Linked DNA regions of Alligator mississippiensis. The protein of the gene in region 2 purifies or fractionates together with the protein of the main gene of each other region. This does not show direct contact. Links are inferred from orthologs where the notes say so. Each region holds a gene or a part of one and is shown on either strand. Other genes may lie near its edges.

Region 1 (10,781 bases), on a different chromosome or scaffold from region 2:
CTGGTGCTGTCTGTGCACCGCGCAGCTCCGTGGCACTGCTCCATCCCTCCGCGCTGCAGGCCAGCTGTTCCTAACCGAGACGCGCGGGCCGGGTCCCCTGGAGGGCTTTGTATCTGGCTTATCGACCATACAAACGCATTCGCTGCCGGCAGCCAAAAATGTCCCAGCTGCTGCTGTGGAGGGGGAGGGCTTGTTTCCCCTTGAATTCTTCCTTGTGTAAAGGAAACGCTTGCCAAGGTAAACCAGAGGGAGACGTGACCTCGCCCCGGTGCCCCCAGCCTTCCTCCCTCTCCCAGACGCCTCCTTCGCTCTCGGCCCCCTTTCCAAAGGGCCCAGGAGCCCGGGGTCCTCCGCCCCCGGCCCTCTTCACTCAGGTCGTCTTTGGCTTCGAACATAAACAGGCCAATGTCTCCGTTTCCTGCAATTCAAGGAGCCCTGCCCATTGCCCGGCCGCGGCAGCCAGAACAGGAATCAAGATTGTTTAGATTCTGGCCTTGATGGGAAAGCGGAGTCACGCAAGCACACACCACCCCGCGCCTCGCCACAATGCGCCCGTCCCGGGCAGAAGCCCCCGTGGCCCCAGGCCCAGGGCAGCCTCGCTGGGACCGTTCGTCCCCAAAATACCTCGCTTTGCTGTTGCCGACAGAGGGGAAAGACGGACTCAATGCCATGGGGATGCAGGGGGGAGAGCAGACTCTTCCGGGGGGGTCTGTGGCATTGGAGGAGGTGCCAGGGGGTCGGCAGGAAAGCATCCCTTTGGGGGGGTGAGCAAGGGGGTGGCGTGCCACTGCTCCCTAAGCGGAGGTGAGAGCACAGCTGGCTCGCTCAGCCCTGCCCCCAGCCCTTTGGGACCAGGAGCCCCTCTCTCCTCCTGTCCTTTCCTCCACTTCTTCCCCCTGTCCCGTTCCCCCCCTCACCCTCCTGGCAGCTCCCGGGATCTTTCGGCCCCCCAGCCTGGATGTTGTAACTGCTCGAGGGCCCCGAGGCCTGCCACGAGCAGCCCCGTGACCCCGTCGTTTCACAACCCGGCTGCGTCCTCTGGTTTGTATCAGCCGGAGACGCTGTCTGCAGCGGTCAGAGGCGGCCTGGGAAAAGCTGAGGATTCACTCTCTTCTGGGGCTCCAGAAATGGAGGCTTTCACTTCCCGTGCAGGAGGGATCCTCCTTTTGCATGGAGTCAGTGTCTCCGATACCCCACACCTTGCCACGGGCTCGCAGCCTCTTTCCCTGCTGGCTCCAGCGATGCCTCTAGCATCTCCTGTATTTCTAGGGGCAGATAAGCAGGCTGCCAATGATCTGCACTGCTCGCCCCAAACACCTAAGGGTCCTGAGCCAGGCTCCCAAATAGCATGAGACGGGTTTGAGAAGCATGTGCATTTAAAAGCAGATGGACGTTCTCTTCCTTCCGCCTTCTGCACTCTTGGCTCACGTCGTCCAGCTTTTCTCTGCAGTTGCAAGGGCTAGAAAGACCCCTGGAAGCAGGGGGAATGGAAACCACCTTCAGGAAGAGCCAGTTAAACCTCTTTTATGTGGTGATGGCAGGGAAGAAGAGAAGCCACCGCCCAAGGCACTGCTCTGCATGGGGAGGTCTGAGCGAGAGCACTCCCCGGGGGAATCGGAGGGATTTCCCTGTGAGTAACGGCAGGGACCATCTCCGGTGCGGATGCCACCCTGACCCCACAAAGGAGCAGGGGGACGGGGCTCCTTTGGGCACAGGGCCAGCTGGAAAAGCAGGCTGGGATGCTCCAGTGCAGGGACCTGCCCCACTGCTGCTCCGTCCTGCCCCGTCCGGTGCTGGGCAAACACACAGGACAGCACTAAAGCATATGTGACTCATGCCATCAGCTTCTCCTTCGCAGAAACTGCCCCGCCAAGCCTCACGCACTAACCGCCTGGGCCAAAAGGGGTGACATTTCCTTGTCTGGGACTCCTTGAACCTTGAATAAATAAATCAAGGGACCAGCTTCTCCGGTTCTCCCCAACTGTTCGAGCTCCTTTGAAGCCAAGGCAGCTCTACTGGTTTACAGGGCTGAGAATCTGGGTGAAGATAATCGGAGATAAGGTTTCCAGAGCAACCTTAATTCCATCTCTTCCACCCATGTGCCGCAGCTATTATTTATAGTGCAACAGTGTGCTAAGCATGTAGGTGTTATGTTAAGGTGCCCTGTATAATCACATAATAAGGCAGGGCAATGCAGCGCTCTCCATGGAAGATGCTTATATGAGGCGCACAGATGAACTGTGCTTCATTAGAGCTCCTTTTAAAACCAAGGTGCGCTCGGTGCTGGCCGAGGGCAGCTGTGCTCCAAGCCTGCAAGGAGACAGGGCCGGGGAGGCTGGCAGCCCTTTCGCTGCCTCTTCTTGACCTCCCGTCCCTGCTCGCTGTCTCCCCCAGACCTTGCCGCACCTTTGGGCAACCCAAACGTCACCTGTCTGCGAGGGGCTGTGCTGGGGACCGGTGTCCGAGGGAAGGCCCAGGGGACGGAAACCCCTTCTCCACCGCGCTCGCACTCCACTGCCCAGCCCTGACCCGCAGGGATCGTCTCACCCCCTGCCCTGGGCGGGAGAGGGATGTTCAGCTCCCCTCCTCCCCCTGCCACTCTCTGGGTCACAAGCCCAGCACTTCCTCTGCCATTTGCGGTTCTGGTTACTTCTGTGTTTTTGGAGCCAGGATGCAGCTCCCATGACCCAGTTCCCTATTATTTTTCCCTTGGAGTCAGTGGCCACGAAGCCCCCCCGCAAGCAATGCCGGCCGCGTGGGCGTGCATGGTGGCGCCCTGGGGTTGCTGCAGGGGGAAGAGACGACTGATCTGAGAAGGTTCCGCGCCGTGGCTCCAGGGTTGTTTCCAGGGGTGCTGAGTGGCCCCAGTCCTGCTCAGGCCCTCCACAATCAGATCCCAGGCTCTATGGACTCGATCAAAAATCCTCCCAGATCCCTAGGGGCTTTTCTGTGGACCACAGCGGGCTCTGGAGCTGCATTAGGGGATCCCGTGAAGCAGAGACATCATCTTCCTCTGGACGTTCCTGCCCTGCAGGGGTCCCGTCCAGGGCAAGCCGTGCTCCTGAGCAGGAGACAACTTAGTGCCTGGGGTCAGGGCCCGATCCGATCAGGCTGGACTTCTGTTCCTAACCTGAGTCTCCGACGGTGGCTTATTGCGCCCTGTGGGGACCTTCCTGGGAGGGCTGGGAGGGGACCAGCAGGGCAGAGCTGTGTGCTCCCAGGCTCTGTGTCCTCCTGCAAGACGGGCACGCTCAGAGAGGAGGGTGAACAGGTTTGCCGGCTAAAGAAGAAGGGGTCGAGCGGCCTCTTCCCACCCATTGCCTTGTTTTCAGTCTTTCTGGGAAATACTGATTTTCTCTGAGCCTGGACGAGAGCAGGGGAGACTTCTCCGAGCCGGCTCTTGGATGGGGCTCAGCACCCTGCAAGCTCTTTGCAAACAGAAGCAAATGGCTTCTCGAGAGCTGCCTCCATGGCATCTCCGAGCTCCTGCACTCACAGCCGCCTCTGCTCTGTGGCCAGAGGGCCAGGACCAAGCCATGTACCCCAGCCCGGGGGCCCCAGGACTGGGCAATGCCTCTGGATCCCATCCTGCCCCCCTCTGCCCCGTAGCAGGATCTGCAGCTGCCGCAAAGGCTTTTGTCCCGCGCTGACTCAGTCTGTGGAGTCACTCGGAAAGGCACAAGGAGCTTCAGGCTTTTCTGTCCCACACCAAGACTATGCCATACTATACCATGCCATGCTATGCCACGCCATGCCATGCTATGCCATATGAATTTCTATGTCCTTCATCATTTTCCTCTTTCAGTGACTTCACCCGGTCCCGGTCCATCATTCCCTACCTTTCTCCTGCAGCTTTTCACAACATCCCCACAACATTCGCTGCCCCCCCAGCCTGCCAGCAGCGTAGCTGATATCTAACGTTGTTAGATATGATCTCACCTCCTTAATGAGGGAGCGGGGTCCGAGTCTGAGCTGTGCTGCACCAGTGCAAACCCGGAGACGTCCCGCCGACTTTGCTGGAGCGAGGACCAGAGCCTGGCCCCAGCGGCCAGAAGCAATTCCAGCACTGCTGGCGGCTGCTCTGGAGCTGAGGACGGAGTTATGCACATATGTCACACATGAGCAAGCCCAGGGGATCTCCATGCGGTTCCTCCCTTGGGGTGGATGTGAGGGGCACCTCGGTAATGAAAGCCCTAGGGGATGCCATGAAACAGCACTGGGTAGCGTGCGACCCAGGGAGTGATGGAGGCTGTGGGGAGCAAATGCAGGCCCGGGCCTCACTGGTGGACACCAGGGAGCTTCAGGGATGCCAACCCTGATCTGGCCCGTCTGGATCTGAGTTTTCGCTCTGGGGCAGCAGCCTCGCACCCGCCTCAAAACCCAGTGTGCGGCGCATTCACACTCACCTGCAGGTGGTCTTCCCTCTCCTGGATGGCACTGTCTGGGGCAGGGGTGCTGCAGGGACCCCCAGCTCTGGGGGCTCTGCCCGCCTCTGCGGCCGATGGGGCTGGCGACTCTTCCCAAACGCGAGCCTCCGCCGGTAGCAGCGCCCGGGACATTCACTGGGCTCACCCCGGGCCGCTCTCCCCTGCGCTATGAGCTCCGACCTGAAGCAGCGTCATGGGGCAGCCCCCTTCCTCCTTGTCCCCTCCTGGCGTTGCAGACGGGAAGCGGGCAGGGCAGGGTAGCGGGCTGGCTTTGGTGTCCCGCCAGCCGCAGCTGGGGAGTGGGGTGGTGCGCCTGGACTGCCTTTCCCAGCCCCAGGGGGTCCGGCCTCCGTCCCCGTGTCCGAGCGCGGCTGCTTGGCAAGCTCTCTGAGCCCTGGATGTGGGAGAAGTCAAAAAATGTTTCTTATTACTGCCTCTTCCTGCCTGGCTTGTCTCCACCACTCCCAGCTAATAAAGCATTTCCTATTGCTGAGCACAGATCCCGTCCAGGCTGCCTTCCTCCCGCACACACCGGGCCCCAACTCCATCCTGACTATGCCCCGGCTTCCTGGGCCTCCCTCCCTGTCCTGCCATAGGCTTGGCATGGGATGGGCGGGTGGATTTCCCTTGCTTCATTTTCAGACCCAGACCAGCCACTTGGACAAAGGCAAGCACATCCAGTCTCTTGAAGGAGCAGATGGGGCGCAGGGGACTATGGCTTTGGCAGAGACAAACCGCCCTCCCCTCTTGCACCCGCGCTGGCTCCTGGGCTTGCAGCACTGAGGGGCCCCATGCTGCAGGGGATGATGCAGAGCCACGCTCCCAGGGCCCCGGGGTGCAATGGGATGTGCTGAGCTTCAGCAGTGGGGCAGAGGCTCTACAGTGCCCCGGCATGGCCTTGCTCCTGTGCCGTGGACTGCAAGGGTCCTACGTGGGTGCCAAGAGGGCTGGGTAGGTCCGTCACACTCCGTGCCCCTCGCCAGCCCCAGCACCACCTTTGCCAGAGTCCGGGTATTAAACCCAGTGTCCTCTCGGAGGAAGGAAGCACTCCCCGCCTCCCCCCAGATGTGCCGTGGGCTTTGTGGCGGAGCTGCGGCCTGGGAACCGCGGACAGGGGCTGCCTGGGCCCGGAGACGCCGCTTCCCCTTTCCATGTTTGAGTCACGATTGTGGGTCAATTGGTGTCTTCCCCATCTTGGCCTCCTGTTCCTCTTCCTTGCTCGCACTCGAGAGCCCCGGTCCTGGCTTCAGCCATCCCGGCTGTACCTCCCTGGCCCCTAGCCCCCAGCAGCAGGGTAAAGAGGGCGGCAACAGCAAAGTGGGCATCACGCTGTGCGGGGGAATGAGGTCACTAGGACGAGCCCCACGTGCGCACTAAGTCACGCTTCGAAGAGCAGCCCAAGCCTTGATGCTGCCTGGACCCTCCCCGCGCAGCGCGAGGTGCAACCATTTACCCTCAAGTCCTGGACCCCTCTCCTTGATGCATTACCCCTCAGCCATCCCTAGGGCTAGGAAGGGAAGCCAGCAGTCTGCCCCCACCATCATCTGCTGTAGCTACTACCCAGCCCTCCCAAACAGAGCAGGGAACAGAGCCCGGGAGTCTGGACTCTCCCACGGGCAAATGCCCCCTTCTCACCGGAGCCCTGGCACAGCACGGCCGGCCCCGCACTTCTCCTCTCTCTTGCGGATTGCTTCAGACTTAGACTTAAAAAGCGAACAACAGGAAGCACCACCAATGGCTCCATGCAAGCCTTGTCCGTGAAAGATGCTTGTATATTTTAGCAACCGGGAGATTTCCGGCCAACGGCAGGTTCAAGGGTGGGGCAGCAGGGGTAGGAATCTCATGGCTCTGTGGGATGGGAAACGGGCAGCTTCAATCTGATTAGGGAAGGACCGGCTGCCATGCCGCCAGGGGAGGAAGTCTGCGCCCGCCCTCGCAGACACGTTATCGCTCTCACCATCTCTGCTCCAGTCCCGACTGTCTGACACCGGGCCACCCTCCCACTGCCATTTCTGGACAGCTCACGTGTCACAGGAGCCCGTGCAAGGGACCGGGCATGTGGCCTTGGCTTAGGGCCGTGGCTTTCAACCTCGTTAGACTCGAGGCCCCGTCAGAAAACGCCAGGTCCGAGCTTCCGCTCCTGTTTAGGCTACAGACAAAGAACAAAACCACTCTTTTGCTGCAAAGACCTAGAAAGGCCCCAACAGGACTGAAGGGTTTGAGAGCTCAGGATTCCTCTGGGCACCCTTGAAAGGATCTCACAGCGCCCAGCAGGCTGTGAAGCCCGGTTGAGAATCACTGGCTTAGGGGCGCGGAGATGACCAAGAGCGTTCGCCCAGCTACAGCGGCAGGCTTGGGGCCAGCAGGCCCGAAGGGAGCGGGGTGGAAAGGCTGCGACTGCCCAAATGTTGCCTCGCAGCAGGCCAGTCTCTACCCAGAGCCAGCACCTCCTTCCTCCCCAGCCACATGCTGCAGCTGACCCTCCTCCCACACACGCGGCCAGAGCAGAGAGAGGATGTCGGCTCTTCTGTTCGTCCCGCTGCTCTATTTTTTAACAAGGACGGGCTGGGGGCGGGGATTTCCCTGTTCTTGATTGGAGGGCTAAGCAGAAAGAAGACTTTTCCCAAGGAGCCCCCAGGCTGGAGGAGTCGGCAGGCTTTTTTTTTTGGACATTTTTTTGTGCACCAGGTCAAACGAGTTCCAAATCCTTGGAATCAGCCAAAAGTCTTACATGGCCCGACCATCGGCAAGTATCCTCCACCAGGCTGCAGGCTTGCAGGGACTATGGCCAGCGGCAGGCAGTCAGGAGTGACTGCAGGCTGCCTGGGAGCCCTGGGCCAGCTGCAGAGGATGATTAGGTGGCCATAGGAGGGCTCCTAGGGAGAGGAGCTGGGGGTGGAGGCTGAAAGAAGGGGAGGGGGTTTGGTTAGCGAGGGCAGAACTGAGCCAAGGACTCTCCCAGGGTCTGGCAAAAGACCTGGAGGCAGCAGCACCACGAGGCCGGGAGAGGGAATTCGCCCAGGAGAGAGAAGGAAAACTGCGCGGCGGCACTGGGGGAGCAGCACGAAGCCAGCAGCTGGTTCTCGGGGTCAGGGCAGAGGCCTCGGGACTGTGAGTTGCCCTGTGTGGGCTGTGTTTTGAGGACTGGCGTACACTGATTTCTGTGCAGCAGGGTTGCCTGGGAATAAATGTGGGGTGAGAGAGTTAAGCAGACTGTCGAGCTAAGCATTGACCCCAAACCCGCTCCACCCCCCGTCTGGCGTGCAGTTCCCAATGGGAAGTCGGCACGTAGGGAGGGAGCCGGCAAGGTCCGGACTTCACAGAAAGGACAAAACTAGCCAGGGGGGCCAATGCACCCAGGGCATCTCCCAGACACCCCACTGTGACTCCTCATGACCTCCACTGGACCATGGGGACACCAAGTCGCAGAAGGGGGTTGCTTAGTTCACTGGCAGCAGAACAAGGCCTCGCTTTCAACCTGCTGCTTTCAATCCCTTGCGATTACGTTCAGGGGTGCAACCCGAGCCCCGGGGTTTGGCTCTTGGGGTCCCTGCTCAGACCTGTGAGCAGCCAGGCTGGGCCCAGCAGCAAAGTCCAGGTACCTCCACCCTGCCGAGGCTGACCTCAGGAGATGCCCACCACCGCTGTGGGGTGCAAAAACGCCATGGGGAAAGCACAGGGCATCTGCAGTAGCCTCCCTAGGACAGGGACATTGGTCTTCTTCCAGAAACAGCCCCTCCTGAGTGCTTAGCGGTGACTGCTGGAGAGACTGCGAGGCTTGAAAGAAGTCGGGGGCAGCTAGAATCGGGGCAAAACGGATCCCCCAGCCCCCAAGCAGCCTGTTCCCGCCGGCGCCTTGCTCCCCCGCCCCCACCGTTGGAACGCGCCTGGCACTGCATGTGCGGAGCGCCGGCTCCCCTGCTCCATGTGCTGCCCGCCCCCAGTTCAGATGTGTGCCGAGCCGGCGAGCTGGCACCAGCAGCAAGCCATGCGTGGAGGAAATGAGAAGCGATGGGCTGGCCGGGGGCATGCAGAAGCACCTTCCCCTGGGCACCCTGTGCCTTGCACAAAGCCCCGGACACCCCTGTGAATTGGCCACAGGCATCTTGGGTGGCCTGAGGGCCAGGGCAGCAGGAGGTGGTCCTCAGGCCACCAGGCTCCTGAATTCGGCCACCCCTCCCTGCAGCGCCAGACCAGGCTGAGTCCCCTACTGAGCGCCAGCCCCCCTCCCTGTGTCTGGATGCTGGCCTGGCCTCACTGGCTCCAAGCTGAGCCAGGCGCTGTGACCGGGGACCTGCAAAGTGTCCACGCAGGCAACAATGGGCCTGGGGGGCAGTGCCCCCCATGACAGGAGCCAGCAGTGACAGCAGTCAATGCCTGCCTCCAAAGCATGGGGGGCAAACTGTGGGTGGGCTCGGGGCACTGCCCCTCTTCTCCCATGTCTACCTCTCCTCCGGCCATGGAGATCAAAGGGCTCTGGGACTTCATTCCTTATTTGCTTGGCCGGGGGATGCAGCAGCCCGGCTTTCCTGGGCCGCAGGGCTTCCCTGCTGGCCGCAGCCCCGGTGTCACCTTGAGCAGAAGGAGCTTTGCAGCCTGTCTGCATCACCTGGAAAGGCCTCAAGTGGCTCCAGCTGCCGGGCCGACAGGTGTGTGGACAGCTCAAACATGTTGTGAACGCAGCCTGGCAGGTGAGGCAAGGCGTGTTGGAGCCGGCAGTGAGACGCCATCTCGGCACAGCCTGCAGCGCTGCCAGGGACTGTGCCAGCAGGCCTGCCAGGCTCCAGCACCCGGGGTGGGGAGCAGGGTGCTGGGTGGTTATGGCAGGGAGTCGAGGAGCCCGGGATGTTCCCAGAGCAACAGTGAGAGCATCGCATCCCGTGGGCACAGGGCATTGCACGTGGGGCACAGGGTCGGGACTCCTGGGTTGTGTTGTGCACGGAGCTGCCACGTGACTTGGCATGGCTGATGTGGCTGGGGCTGTCCCTGCTCCGTCTGTGCTGGTGGGGAGGGGAGGTCTGCAGTTCTGGGCAGTGAGTGTGACTGACCACAGGTTTCCCGGGGCAGGAACCGTCCCTCTTCTCCGCAGCGGGGGGCCGTGGGGTATCTGTCTAGGGCTCGCTGAATCTCCTCTGCTCTGCTGCCTCTGGCTTGGATGGTGGTGGCTGGTTCATTTGCATTGAGCTGTTGGGGGCTACTGCAGCTGGGGGGATCCTCTCCTCTCCACCTGTGGCCAGGCCTGCCCTCCCCATGCCCCTGGGCTGGCTGGGGTAACCCACATGGCATTCCTATCCTGTGGCTGCAGGGCACTGCTCATGGGGGACTGTGCCCAGACATGTCCCCTCCTCTTGCAGCCCCACAGCAGGAGCTGGCCCCATGTCTTGGCCCTGGCCCAAGGGGCACAGTGAGTGCCCTGCAAGCATGGCTTGCCCACCTCCTTGGGCTGTGGGGTCCAGGGACAGGAGTGGGTCTGGGTCATGGATGCGGAAGCAACCCAACCTGTCAGCTCCTGCGGGGCCAGGAACATGCACAGAATGGCCTGACGGGTCTCTGGAGCCAGGGAGGGAGAGGGGCATCCCACAGCTAGGAGGCCTTGAAGGAGAGGATGCATCTTCCTATAAGATGCACTTGAATCCAGCCTCAGGCTGGCCGGTTGTGGTGGCCCCTCGGGGCTCAGGAATCCCCGTCTCTCCTCTTCCTTCCCAAGCTCAGGGGACAGGATTTCCTGCAGTGGCGTCAGCCCACGTGCACGTGCAGGTGTGTGCTGCGACGCTGGCTGTAGTCCAAGCTCATGCTTCAGGGGTCAGGAAGAAATCCCCACCCCCCCGCCCCCCGATGCAGCAGTGACCACATGTGTTGCAGGAGCTGCATTTCGCTTCCCTCTGAAGCATCGGTCAGTGTCTGGGGAGGGTGGGCAGGGGCTGGGTGTCGGGGCTCCTGGGGGCACACTTCAGCTCTTGGGGGAGGGCGGGAGCGGTAGGATGGGGCAGTGGGAGTAGGAACGCTCGAGGGGGTGATGGAAGGGGAACGGCCCGCTGCAGCTTCAGGGCTGTGTCCACTCTCCCGTGGAGGACCAGCAGGACCTGGGGCCTGTCCCCAGTTGTGCCAGGGGCATCAACCGCAGCTGGGAAGTCACGTCCCCAAGGCACTGCGCTCTCCTGGGGGAGATGCCCGGAAAAAGGACAAAGCACTGTTAGCCGCCGCATCACCAGCCTTGAGGCTCAGGTCGTAATAAAGCTCTTAACACGGCAACCACTCCGCGTTTAATGGACCTGCCGCGCCCCACGACTGCGCTGCGAGGGCGAGATGCTGGTGACACGGGACAGAGACGGAGGTCACCCCATGGGATGGGTC
Region 2 (11,151 bases):
CTGAGCTAGAAGGAAGTCAGGTCTCAGCCACTTAAGTTTTCTGTAGTTTAGACAAAGTAAGAGACTGGGTTCAGCCCCCTTAAAGATACCAGCCTGGCTCAGTAGGTCATGTAGAAGCTCTTTAGGTTGATTGACATCACTTTGTGCCCCAGTGCTTTGGCAAGTGGTCACTTTGTGTATGATAGGACATTGCATGGCTGTGTACACTTATACAGGGGATCATCTTGTGTGTGTGTGTGCCCTGCCCTGCCCTGCCCTGCCCTGCCCTGCCCTGTGGGAGCCTTTCTTGTATCCCTTCTACTTTGCGCAATAGATATTTGGCGTCACACTCCAGGAACCCAAAGTTTAGTATAAGAACACAGTGTAATGCAGAGACATTAACACCACCTCTGGCCTCTACCTGACCCCTCTGATTAAATGATTGGGCTGCTCAAGATGTCATTAAAAGTCACATTTTTTTCCCTCAGGATTATGTGGCCTGACTTCCACATCAGCTGATCCCTTTCCACTGGAGCTTTTGCAGAGAAGTCAAGTAGGAGGCAGTTTCAGTTCAACTCATTGACATCCCCGTACCCACCAGCTTATTCCTTTTGTCTCAAGGAAATGCCTGTAGCCCAGTGTATTTAGCACACAGCAGTAAGGGCCAGAGGAACACAGCAAGTAGGAGAAACCCTCTGGCCCAAGGAGGTCATGGGTTGCATGGATCTGATTAAGGTAAATGGCAAAACTGATTATATCAAATACAAGAGTGGTGCCAAATGTATGCAGACCTGTTCTCCATCGCTGTCTGGGTACTAACAGTCCCTTAAATGTGACTGCAGCTTTCACTTTTTGGCCACCCTCTCAGGACACCTCATTAACATCCACTTCAGAAGGTTCCCAGGGGCAGGAGGAACGTGGCAAGTCAGTGGTAGAGCTGAGATGAGACCGCAGGATCTCATGACCTCACGGACTAGACCTATGCTTGCTCCTCCGGTCCTCTGTGCCTTTGGACTTGAGCAGTGTAGGTCATAGCTGTGTTGGTCTAAGGACATACCCAAAGAGACTTGTCTGCCTAAATCCAATATCTTTTACTAGACCGACTCAAATGGAAAATTCTTCTTAGCAAGATTTCAGGCATAAACACCCTTCGTCAGGCTGAGGAAGACTCTGAAATCTTGCTAAGAAGAATTTTTCAAACTATTTGAGTCGGTCTAATAAAAGATATCGGATTTATCCAAAGAATCTTATCTGCCTTTGGACTTGAGCAGCATCCATGGGCAGTGTGGCCCAGTTTGCTGTGTGACCCACTCCAGCAGGAGGCAGCACCAGCCTGCAGGCAGACCTACTGACCAGGGGCAAGCACTCCATCAGCTTCCCTTGTGCTGTAACTGGTGCTGAAGTAGGTGGCTCTGGAGCTGATTAGTTACATCAGCCAGTGAAAGGGGATAAGTGAAGAGATGAGAGGGAGCAGAGCTGGGTAGACTTACAGTTGCACAGAGTAGACACAAGTCTTGCACACTAGTGTCATCTGGAATAACTCCAATGAAGCTAGAATTCAATGGGAGTAAAATTAGAAGGAGAGGAGAATTAGTCCTTTCCTCCCCCTTCAAGGGCCAAGCCCATTTAAGCAGGGAGGAGTGGATGGCCCAGTGGTAATAGTGCTACCCTGGGTCTCGGGGCATCCTAGTTCAATTTCCTGCCCTGCTACAGACTTTGTGACCTTGAGCAAAGCAATTAAGTGCTCTCTGCCTCAGTATCCCCACCTGTGAAATGGGAGGGCAGTGCTATTAGTCCCTATGGTACTGCCCGTATACCAAGGGTGTGTGGAAAAAGGGAAGCCAGCTCCTTGCAAGAGTGACGGGTCAGGCTGACGACAAGGGAGGCGGTGATGTGCGGACACCTGACTGAGCAGCAGGGGTCCCAGACAACGCATTTCCACCAGTTTGTGTCCTGTGTCAGGGGCGCCCTGTGGCAATGCAGGAACCTCCTGTTATACAGGCACGCCAAGCTCAAGGAAACAGACTGCGTTAAAATGTTTCTGAGCGAACTTTAGTCCTACCGCCAGAAATTGGTGAGTGAGGATGGAGAAGATGCAGCCAACTTCATCTGGAAAAGCGACACCTGGCACTGGTTGTTCAAAGACCCCTCAGGAGGGAAAGTGGACAGAGAGAACGAAGGGGACAGAGATGCAGCTGGACCTGGAGACAGCAAGAAGGACTGCAACAGGATTAGCAGCAGCAGAAGTGACAGCGATAAGGACAGCGAATGAACTGAGAATAGCCCAAACCCCAATTTGGGGTTTCATAGGAGTGTGATTGGGGTAGGTGAGGGTGGAGGGTAGGTGTGCAGGGGAGTGGGTGTGTTTGTTGTAACGGGAAGTGCAGGCTTCTAAATGTGGTTTTAAGATGTGTGATGGAAAGTTTATAACGGAGGGTGGAGGGGTGTATATAACTCTCTCTCTCTCACATACATATATAATTTTAATTTCAAAAAAGAAAAAGGTGAGAGAGAGAAGAATCATGTGCTAATGTGGCCCAGGGCTGGGAGCTGGGGGATAGGCTGCCCCTGACTCTGAAGACACCTCTGCCAGGACATTAAGCCTGGTCCTGCCAGAGGCTCTGCACCTTCCGTGCTCCTCGCGGGGAGGAACTGTCGGCTGAAGGGGCCGCGGCTGAGCCTACACGTCTCGGGGAACAGCAAACAATGGCACCGGGACCTCCGCACGCTTCGTTCCATCCTGTTGTCCTCTCCCTACGCCAAGAGGCTAAGGCTCGTTCTTTCCTGCCATTGGGGCGACTGGCCAGGAAGAAATGTGTTACCACAAACATGCGGGTTGTCAGCAGGGCACTTCCCACCCACCTTGAAGACAGATCAATCCATCGATCTCTGCCTCTAGCCCCGGCCAGGCCAAAGATAACAGAGGGGGAAATGCAAAGGGCCAGCTGTATATACAGCTATTCCAGGAGGCAAGGCCTTTCAGGTCATGTTCCTCTTTGATCTCCTGGAGTCAATGGGAACCGACCAGTCAGGAATGCGTCTCGTCCAGCATGCGGCGTGGAGAGAGACACGCTCCAAGGCAGACGTGTAAGGCACCGGATGAAGGGCCAGACTGGATGCAGCCCAGGCGTCTGCTGGAGGAGGGCTCTGTAGGCGAGGCTTGGCCGAGAGCATGTGCTCTAGAGGGAGGATTTGACTGGAAGGGAAGGCGCCAGCAGTGGCATTCAAGCCCTGGAGGGTGCTGGTGGGGGGCCTGTGAGAAAGGGCAGGGGATCGGCCTTCCCCGCCTTCTCCCCTTGGAGCTGGACTCTTGCGCCTCTTTGCCCCCTAGCTCTTGCTGGGCGCCTTGCTGGCTGTATGAGCACTGTGTTGCTTGCCATCTGCCTGGCCAACCCTGTGGCTGTTGCTGTAGCTTTCTGGCCACCTCCTTCCAACCCAAAGCCTATGTGTGAGGCATTCACTTGGCTCTTGGCATCCTTGTGACACCTCCTCCTGCCCCACAGCTACCTAAACATCTTCTGCATCATTCAATGGCTGCTGCCATGCAGAAGCAGTGGGATAAACATTTGCTCCTGCCTTTGATCCCTGGTGCCACCTGTTCATTTGTTTGAAGTCATGGGAGACCTGGCCCCCAAGCCTGGGGTGGCACGTACTGCCCTGATGCGTGCCCGAGTGCAAGCAAGAAAGGGAACCAAGACAGTCCTCTGCATCCCCGTTTCCCACTGAGGTGGCAATGGAGCAGGAGTGGCTTTGGAGGCCTGCCTTCGACCCTTGTTCTTCCCAGTACTTGTTTCCCCCATCAGGGACCTGGGATGCCAGGGGGCTGTGGGGGAGCAGCTGAGAGGAGCCCTGCAGTCTGGGAGAGTGAGGGACCAGGTGCTTGAGAGCAGCAGGGAGCAAGAGCAGCCTGTAACTAGCTGAGAGGCAAATGGGTTGCTGATCTCAAAACAGCCCCTCTTCCATGGTGTCCTGGACACTGCTGTGGGCTCTTTCCAAACACCCACAGCCCTTCCACGTTGCCAGCATGCGGGTGCTGTCCCGTTATCTTGACGGCACTCTGGATTCAGGAGCCAAACCCTGGGGAGAAACCCAGATGGACCTGCCTTTTTCCGCAGGTCCATCTCTGATTCTGAAGGGTCTGTCTGAGCCCCAGGAGCCTGGTCTGCCTGGGCTGAAGTGCTGTGGCCATGGGAATGATCACCCGTTCCCCTCTGCCGCTGCGGCCCCTTGGCTCCCAGCTCCGTGCAGTCCCTGTTGTTCTGTCAACAGCAGGTCTTTAGCCCTGTCCTTGGATAGCAAGTAACCAGAGAATGAGGCCCCTGTGAAACGTTTGTCTCCTAACCTGGCTGCAAACTGGCTCCACACGTAAGGCTAGAAGGGACCCTCCTGAACCACATTGAGGCCCCTGTTGTGTCCAGTCGCAGCTCACAGCTAAGAGCCCATCCACGTCCGAGCCAGGGCCACAGGCTCCTTGCTCCAGTTGTAACTTTGGTGTGAACCAGCCCTTAGACTTCTGCACAGTGCCTGGATTAACAGCCACCTCCCACTACCTCTGACCTGCGGTGCTGCTGGGCGAAGGCCAGGGTGGAGTACGCTGGAAGTCTGTGCATGTTCCTGGTGGCAATGTAGGGAGGCCTGCAATAAAGGTCCACGTGATGCTGTCCCCGCTTTGTCTCCGCAGCACCATAGTCCCCAAGATCTCTCTGGGCTGACTGGGGCTGTTGAGCGGCTGCAGTGCTTCAGATTCTGTGTTGTCAGACCTATGAGTCCTGTTTGGTTGGGTTTTTTTCATTAAAATCAACATCCTCCCCTCTCTACATTAAAAACATAACAGTTTACCTCACTTCACCTGTCTGGGGTTGTGTGATCCCAGCATGTGCTCCTGCCAGCGGTGGGGGGTCAGACTAGATGATCCCTTCTGACCCCAAACTACCATGAAACTACATAACACATGTCCAAACTAGCATAGCATCTCCTCATTTACATGCCTTGACATCTACCGTTTCTTCCATCTATGTACTTCTTATCCTTTGGCAGTATGAGACCTGTGTTGTCAGACCTGTGTTGTTCAGGTCTTATGTCTCTGTTCGGCCTCCCACACATGCAGTTCCCACCTGGCTTCCCTCCGTGGTGCTGTGAGTGACACTTCTCCCCCCTCTGTCCCCTGCCATCCAAAGCACTGAAGACTGGCTACTGACTGTAAGTCTTGTATCCTTCCTCCCTCCAGATTCCCTGAAAGGAGGCTTCGGAGACAGTTCTACCCATTTTACAGAGAGGGAAATGGAGGCACAGAGGGGTGCAATGACTAGCCAAAGGTCCCCGAGATGCCAGCCAGGGACTCCCAGTGCTGTGCACCAACCGCTAAGGCACGTTCCTTCCTCAGGATGAGGCAGTGTCCACATACTTCCTGCAGCCCTTGAGGTGCATGCCCCAGTCCCAGCCCCAGCTCCATGCATAGTCTCCTACCCTGGGGCCCCTACAGATGATCTTTAGGATAGAGTGATGCCAGGGGATGATATGTGGCTCACTGGGCTGCAGAAAATCAAATGCAGGCCCGTGGGGGGGAACAGAGCCGCCTCCAGGAACCACCCATGGTCTAGGAGCCCCCTCCTGAGGAGAGGAGGGAGGACTGTGAGCACCCGGCATCCTGGCCGGCTCTCCTTCGGTCTCAGGACGCAGCCCCCACCCATTGCTGTCAGTGCATGACCTCCAGCAGAGGCTCGGAGCCTCTACAAACGGCATTTCCTCCCTCTTTTTGGCAGGCGAGCGTTTGGCAGACCCTCCTCTAAAGGGAGTTGATTTCCTGCCGCTTTGGGTCATCAGCACTGGGTTGAGTCAGTGCCGCACATTCAGGCGCTGTGAGTTCCCCTCCAGCACATCCTCTCGGCGGAGAAGCCGGGACACAACCAGCCACAACCTCCAGGTCCCTGCTTCCTTCTCTGCCACCGACAGCTCAGGAACTCCCCCAAGGCTGGAGTGGAGCAGATCCCCCTTCCTCCGCCTGCCTGCCCACAGTCCCATCGTGCAGTCGTGCAGCCCGTCGAGGCTCTCTGGGGCCAGGCCGCTGCCTCTGGACACGGGCTAAGAGGAGCCAGGACGCGACGCCGGAGCAGGAGGCAGCGTTCCCACGCCATGCAGACTCTCGTGTGCCTCACTGCGCTGCTGCTCTGCTGCTTGCGCGCCCACACAAGTGAGTTGCTCTTCCTTCCCCAGCTATTCCTGAGCTCAGCACGGGGTGGGGGGGGGGGGGGGGTGTTCATTTTGTCTCTTTCTGGCTTGTTTCTGCCTCTTCCTTCTCGCTGGCCTCCTCACCGCTCTCCTGAGCTCCCCGGGCCATTTTCGCAAGTCCTCACGAATTCAAGTCAAGCCAGGCGTTCCTCCTTCCCAGAGTCCTGCTCTGTCCCAGAAAGGCTGGGGCATCTGCCCCTGGTGGGAATCCCCCAGTTTGGTCTCCTCACCTTCTCTGTGGGGAAGCCAGTGATGCTGGGCTGGTGGTTCCCAGCTCCATCCAGCTTCTGAAGAAACAAGAGAGGTGGAAGCATGTCACAGCCCCAGCTCTGCTCTCTGCCAGCGAGGTTCGCTAGGCCTCCACCAGCTGCGCCGTGCCCCCCTGCTGCACTCCCAGGGCTGGGTCGAGGAGAGTCTGTGGCCGCTTGGGGCTGGGAGGTTGGTTGGTGCTGTGTAATGATTTGTTGCGAGGTCCTCAGGGCTGGGGGCAGTGTGCAGAGCTGCAGTGCGAGGCCGGTGGCTTTTTGTCATCAGAGTTGCATCTTGCAAAGAGCTAAGCACCTCCTGGAAAGTGCAAGGGGCTTCAGTGGGGACCACAGGCGCACTGCAGCTCCCAGAATCCAGCTCAGTGGGTCTTATCCAGGATCCATGGAAGTTGATGGACATACTCTCGATGGACTTTGGATCAGACCTATGGAAGCTGGAGGGAGCTGGATGTGGGGTGTTGGTGGCTTCCAGCAAACCTCCAGATAAACGGCTCTTAGGAAATACCCTGGGAGCAGACAGTGCAGAGCCAGTGGGAGCAGCTGCTAAGGGTTCATTTGGCCACAAGGTCACTCCTCCCAGGCTGGGATGCCCTGGGGTTACTGCTGGCTCCCGGAGAGCTGTGCAGCCATGCTGTCAGTGTTGCTTCACCACAGAACCTAGTGACCCGCGATGGGCACGGGCTGACTCAAGCCAGCCAAGGGTCTGGCTTTGCACAAAATGGCTTTTATTTTGATTACTCAGTAAAGTTGAGCCCCGGCTGTTGCAGGCAGAAGGCTGTGAGCTGGGGTTTTGCTGAGGAAACAGCTTCAAGTGGAGCCGGGAGTGGGGGAAGCCTGGATATGTCAGAAAGAAGTACGGACCACAGGTCATCCCCATTCCCCCTCTCTTTGGCTTTTAAAGCCCCAGAGCAGCAGCCGGGGAAGAGGGGGAAGGGGGGGAGAGAAGGGGAAACAAAGAAATCTCTCCCTCAAACTTAGCGGGCTTTGAAACCTGAGACTGTAAAGAAACAGGGAATTTGGCCAAATAGCCTCAATGAAGAGAAATCCTCTCACTGGGATCATCTAGTCTGGAAAAATAAGCTGCTTGGAGAACAGCCCAGCTGTGTTTCTTCACCCTTGTAAAAATCCTGTGAACATGCAGGCCAAAGAGTGAAGCAACATTGGGGCTGGTGCGGGGGAGAGTTTACTTGTCTCCAGCAACTACAGGCGAGCAAAAAATTGGAAGGAGCAAACATTTGAGTGCACAAAAAGAAATGTGCAGGCAAGGATCTCCCTGAGGGGAGGGTGTTAGTTCCCAAGAAGAATGAGAATTAAGTAGCAGAGATGGAGCCAAAATCTTGCTCTGGGGATGAACCATGGCTTTTGCCAAGGGACTGGCCTACATGGCCACATCCAGCCCACAGGGGTAGCGCTGCAGCGGGACGTGGTGGAAAGCTGGGATGGTCATCGCAGCAATCTGAGTCCACTCTGCAGTTTATAATGCTCTGAGATCGCGCTGCTTGGGTAGAGTTGAACAGATCAGCACAGCAGGCTTGGCAGGAGAAGCAGCTTCAGACCCAAGGTCAGGTTTCCAGGAGTGGTAGTGGCTGTGGAGATAACATAGTTACTGGGGGTGGTTTCTGAAATGCATGAGCCCCAGAGAGTGTGAAGGAAGGAAGAGCTTGACAGGCACTGCAACATCTTCAAGGGCATTATTTCTGCAGCTCGCTCAGCTCAAAGAAGAGCTCTGAAGACACGCAAATGTCTCTCTCAGCAGGGTCCGGGAGCAAGCAGTGGAATTTGAGTCAGGGTAGTGAGTTATTGCCAACGCCAAGAGATCGAAGATCAGGAGTCTGGTCCCAGACACCAGAGATTTTAAAACAGGGATTTCAAGTCAATTGAATCAATGTAAACTCTTTGTTTTTAATTTTCCTTTTGATTTCTGAGCCTTGGGGGTTGTGTTTGCAAGGTTTCAGAGGGTTACAGACTTGGTGCTTGAATGGAAAGCTGAGTTTCCTCTAATCACATGACTCCAGGAGCTGGGACTGTGAGAAAAATGCTGTCAAATATCAGAGGGGCTTGTGACAGAATCCTGGAAGTTGGTGAGCCCATAGTAAGGAGGGCTGGGAAAGCGGTTAGCTGGATCTGGGGATCACAGAGCAACCATTGGCTGTGAAAACAGCAGGGGCTGCAGGATCATTCCCAGAGCTCGTGCGATCTGTTGAGAGAGGGCTGCACTAGTCACCCGCGTGGCAGGGTTGAGTGGAAGGGATCTCTCCTGGAAGCCTCGCATGTGGTGGGCTAGCATACTTCAGGTGGGATTGGGGCACAGCTAGAGACTTGCACTGAGACACATCTGTCCCTGGTACAGCATCACTGACTTGCACCCACAAGGTCTTTATTCAAAGCCCCAAGTTTCCTCTGTGTCTCTGGTGGATCCCTAAGGATGGTCCTGTTCATTTCCACCATTGACTGTCTGCGTGATAGCCAAGGACACAGGCCAGGCCACACTTTGAAACCCCTGTGTCACTGGAAGGGAGTCTCCGCTGAAGAATTGGTCCAGCTGTATGCACTGGCTCAGTGGCCACTAGGTCAAAGTTACTACGGGGTTGGCCCCAGCCCAACAAGTGTATGTATGTGTGTTTCTCATTGTCCCGTGTCAAGCGTACACAGCGTGCGGTGCTGTCTGAGAGCCTGAACAGGCAGCCTGCTTGCACCTGTGTAATCTTCACTGGGTTTGTATACCTGTATTGATTATGGGGTCTAGAGGAGACATACAAGGTAGATATTCAAGTGTAGCTGTTCCCAGTATGCACCATTACAGTACCTCACTGCACCTGGGTAGGGAGCAGGCCATAGCCCGCTTGCACTGAGCAAATGGCTACCCTGGGATGGAAGATGTAAGTCACACCAGTATAGGCTGACTTCTCGTTCTTCCCCTGGTAATGCTATCCTGGACTTGGGGCAAGTTACACAGATGTAGGAGTATCTGTGGACTCCTTGTTCATACCAGTTCAAAAATGGCAACTATCCAAGGCCAGACACCAGTCCCTAGGTGCGAGAATCACCATGGCCCAGAGATGAGTAGATATTTCAAGCCTTGGAGACAGAGGGCAGCTCACAGGAAGGTGAGCCCAGCACTATGGCCTATGGCCTTTTGGCTAGAGGCAAGCAAGACTAGGGGCTATCTGAACTCCAGGGCCTCTGGGCTTGGAGTTTGCACATAGGATGCCCACCATGGATTTGGGAGCATCTGAAGTCCCAGGCTGACGAGTCTGAGAGGTAGGATACTTGCCAGTGGTAGTGCAACACAGACTTGAACAACTGCGCTCTGCTCAGTTGATAGAATTTGCAACTAATTTGGCCTAAGACACAAAATTATATATATAAGGGGGAAAGGGACCATTAGGGTATCTAGTCCCATCTGCTGTGAGAAGAAACTGTGTCAACTCAGCTGCTTTCAATTCCACTTATATATTTCTGTTAGCTAGAAAACAATTCCAGTAAATTGGCAGCAGTACGGTGCACGATGCTAATTAATGGCAGAGGGAAGACAAGACCAGTGGGTGTAATGCACATATAGGATTGCTCAAGGTGGGGGTGGGATTTAGGAAAGGGAGGTCTGGTTACAAGAGAAGGAAGCCAATATGGGCATGTCCGTACTGAGGAACTCCGGTTTCTTGTGCTTCTACCTCAAAGCACTTTATGGAGGCATAAACTGCGCCAAGCTCACTGAAATACAGACACCCCTGGGGGTGGGGGCAGCAGCTGTCAGCTCTGCGTATCAGTTCCAGACAGAGTGAAAAACCACCTTTGCCCACAGAAAGGGAGACCAGCTTGGGCACTCCCCAGCGTGCTCTGAGCACCCCCAGCCAGCTCTGATTAGCTGGGGATAGCCTGTGGGGCTGCAGATGGGGTGGGCCAGAGCAGAGTCTAGGCTGGGCCATGCAACCCTTTGCAGTTTTCTTTGAAGACCTCCGAATTCTTCCATACCAGGATTTCTCACATATTGTAAAGCACAGGGAAACAAGCGGCAGTGAAAAGGCAGGGAAAAAAGAAGAATTGAGGTAGATGTGTGTTGCGGGGGGGTAGAGATTTCCGTTTTGGTGCTGGATGCGGAATGGCAGTGGCTTTGGAGTATTTAAGGTACCATTAGGGTATCTAGTCCCATCTGCTGTGAGAAGAGACCACATCAGCTCAGCTGCTTTCAATTCCACTTTATATATAAGACCTCCTAAATCCCACCCCCACCTTGAGCAATCCTATATGTGCAACACACCCACCGGCCTTGTCTTCCTTCTGCCATTAATTAGCATCGTGCTCGGTGCTGCCGGCAATTTAGTGGCATTGTTTTCCAGCTAACAGAAAGGGTCTGATCATATGACTAGGTCCCTGGGCGCCAGGCTATGGCTGTATCTGTGCTTAGCAGTGACTTCTATTTTATACTGCCTGCGTAGTGAAATAAGGGATGTGCCCCAGGAAAGCCTCATGGCAGGGTTTATTTGTCATATATTGACCCGGCTGTGTCTGGAATAGTGGGTTGGGGAAAACTGATGTGTCCTCAGGGGACAGGGAAAGCTGGCTTTGTGAGGGGAGTTGGGGAAGAGAGGAGACCAGCTTCCAGGCTGCAAGTGCCCCTCATTGCGTCTGGGAAAGAAGGTGTAAGTCAGGTTAAACCGAAGCAACTGTCCTGAGGTAT

The links.
Region 1: the proteins of ENG (region 2) and ACVRL1 purify together in Homo sapiens (affinity purification with western blotting; 3 studies listed by BioGRID and IntAct, with this or other methods). This does not show direct contact. The link is inferred for Alligator mississippiensis from reciprocal best matches to the Homo sapiens genes ENG and ACVRL1.

Annotation. Positions count from the first base shown.
Region 1 is NC_081838.1:6,393,208-6,403,988, reverse strand, and holds the start of ACVRL1 (serine/threonine-protein kinase receptor R3), read right to left. Parts: upstream 4,927-10,781; 5' UTR 4,407-4,926; intron 4,088-4,406; 5' UTR 3,940-4,087; intron 1-3,939. UniProt on the Homo sapiens protein: Type I receptor for TGF-beta family ligands BMP9/GDF2 and BMP10 and important regulator of normal blood vessel development. On ligand binding, forms a receptor complex consisting of two type II and two type I transmembrane serine/threonine kinases.
Region 2 is NC_081835.1:57,302,580-57,313,730, forward strand, and holds the start of ENG (endoglin), read left to right. Parts: upstream 1-5,765; 5' UTR 5,766-6,111; coding exon 6,112-6,169; intron 6,170-11,151. UniProt on the Homo sapiens protein: Vascular endothelium glycoprotein that plays an important role in the regulation of angiogenesis. Required for normal structure and integrity of adult vasculature. Regulates the migration of vascular endothelial cells.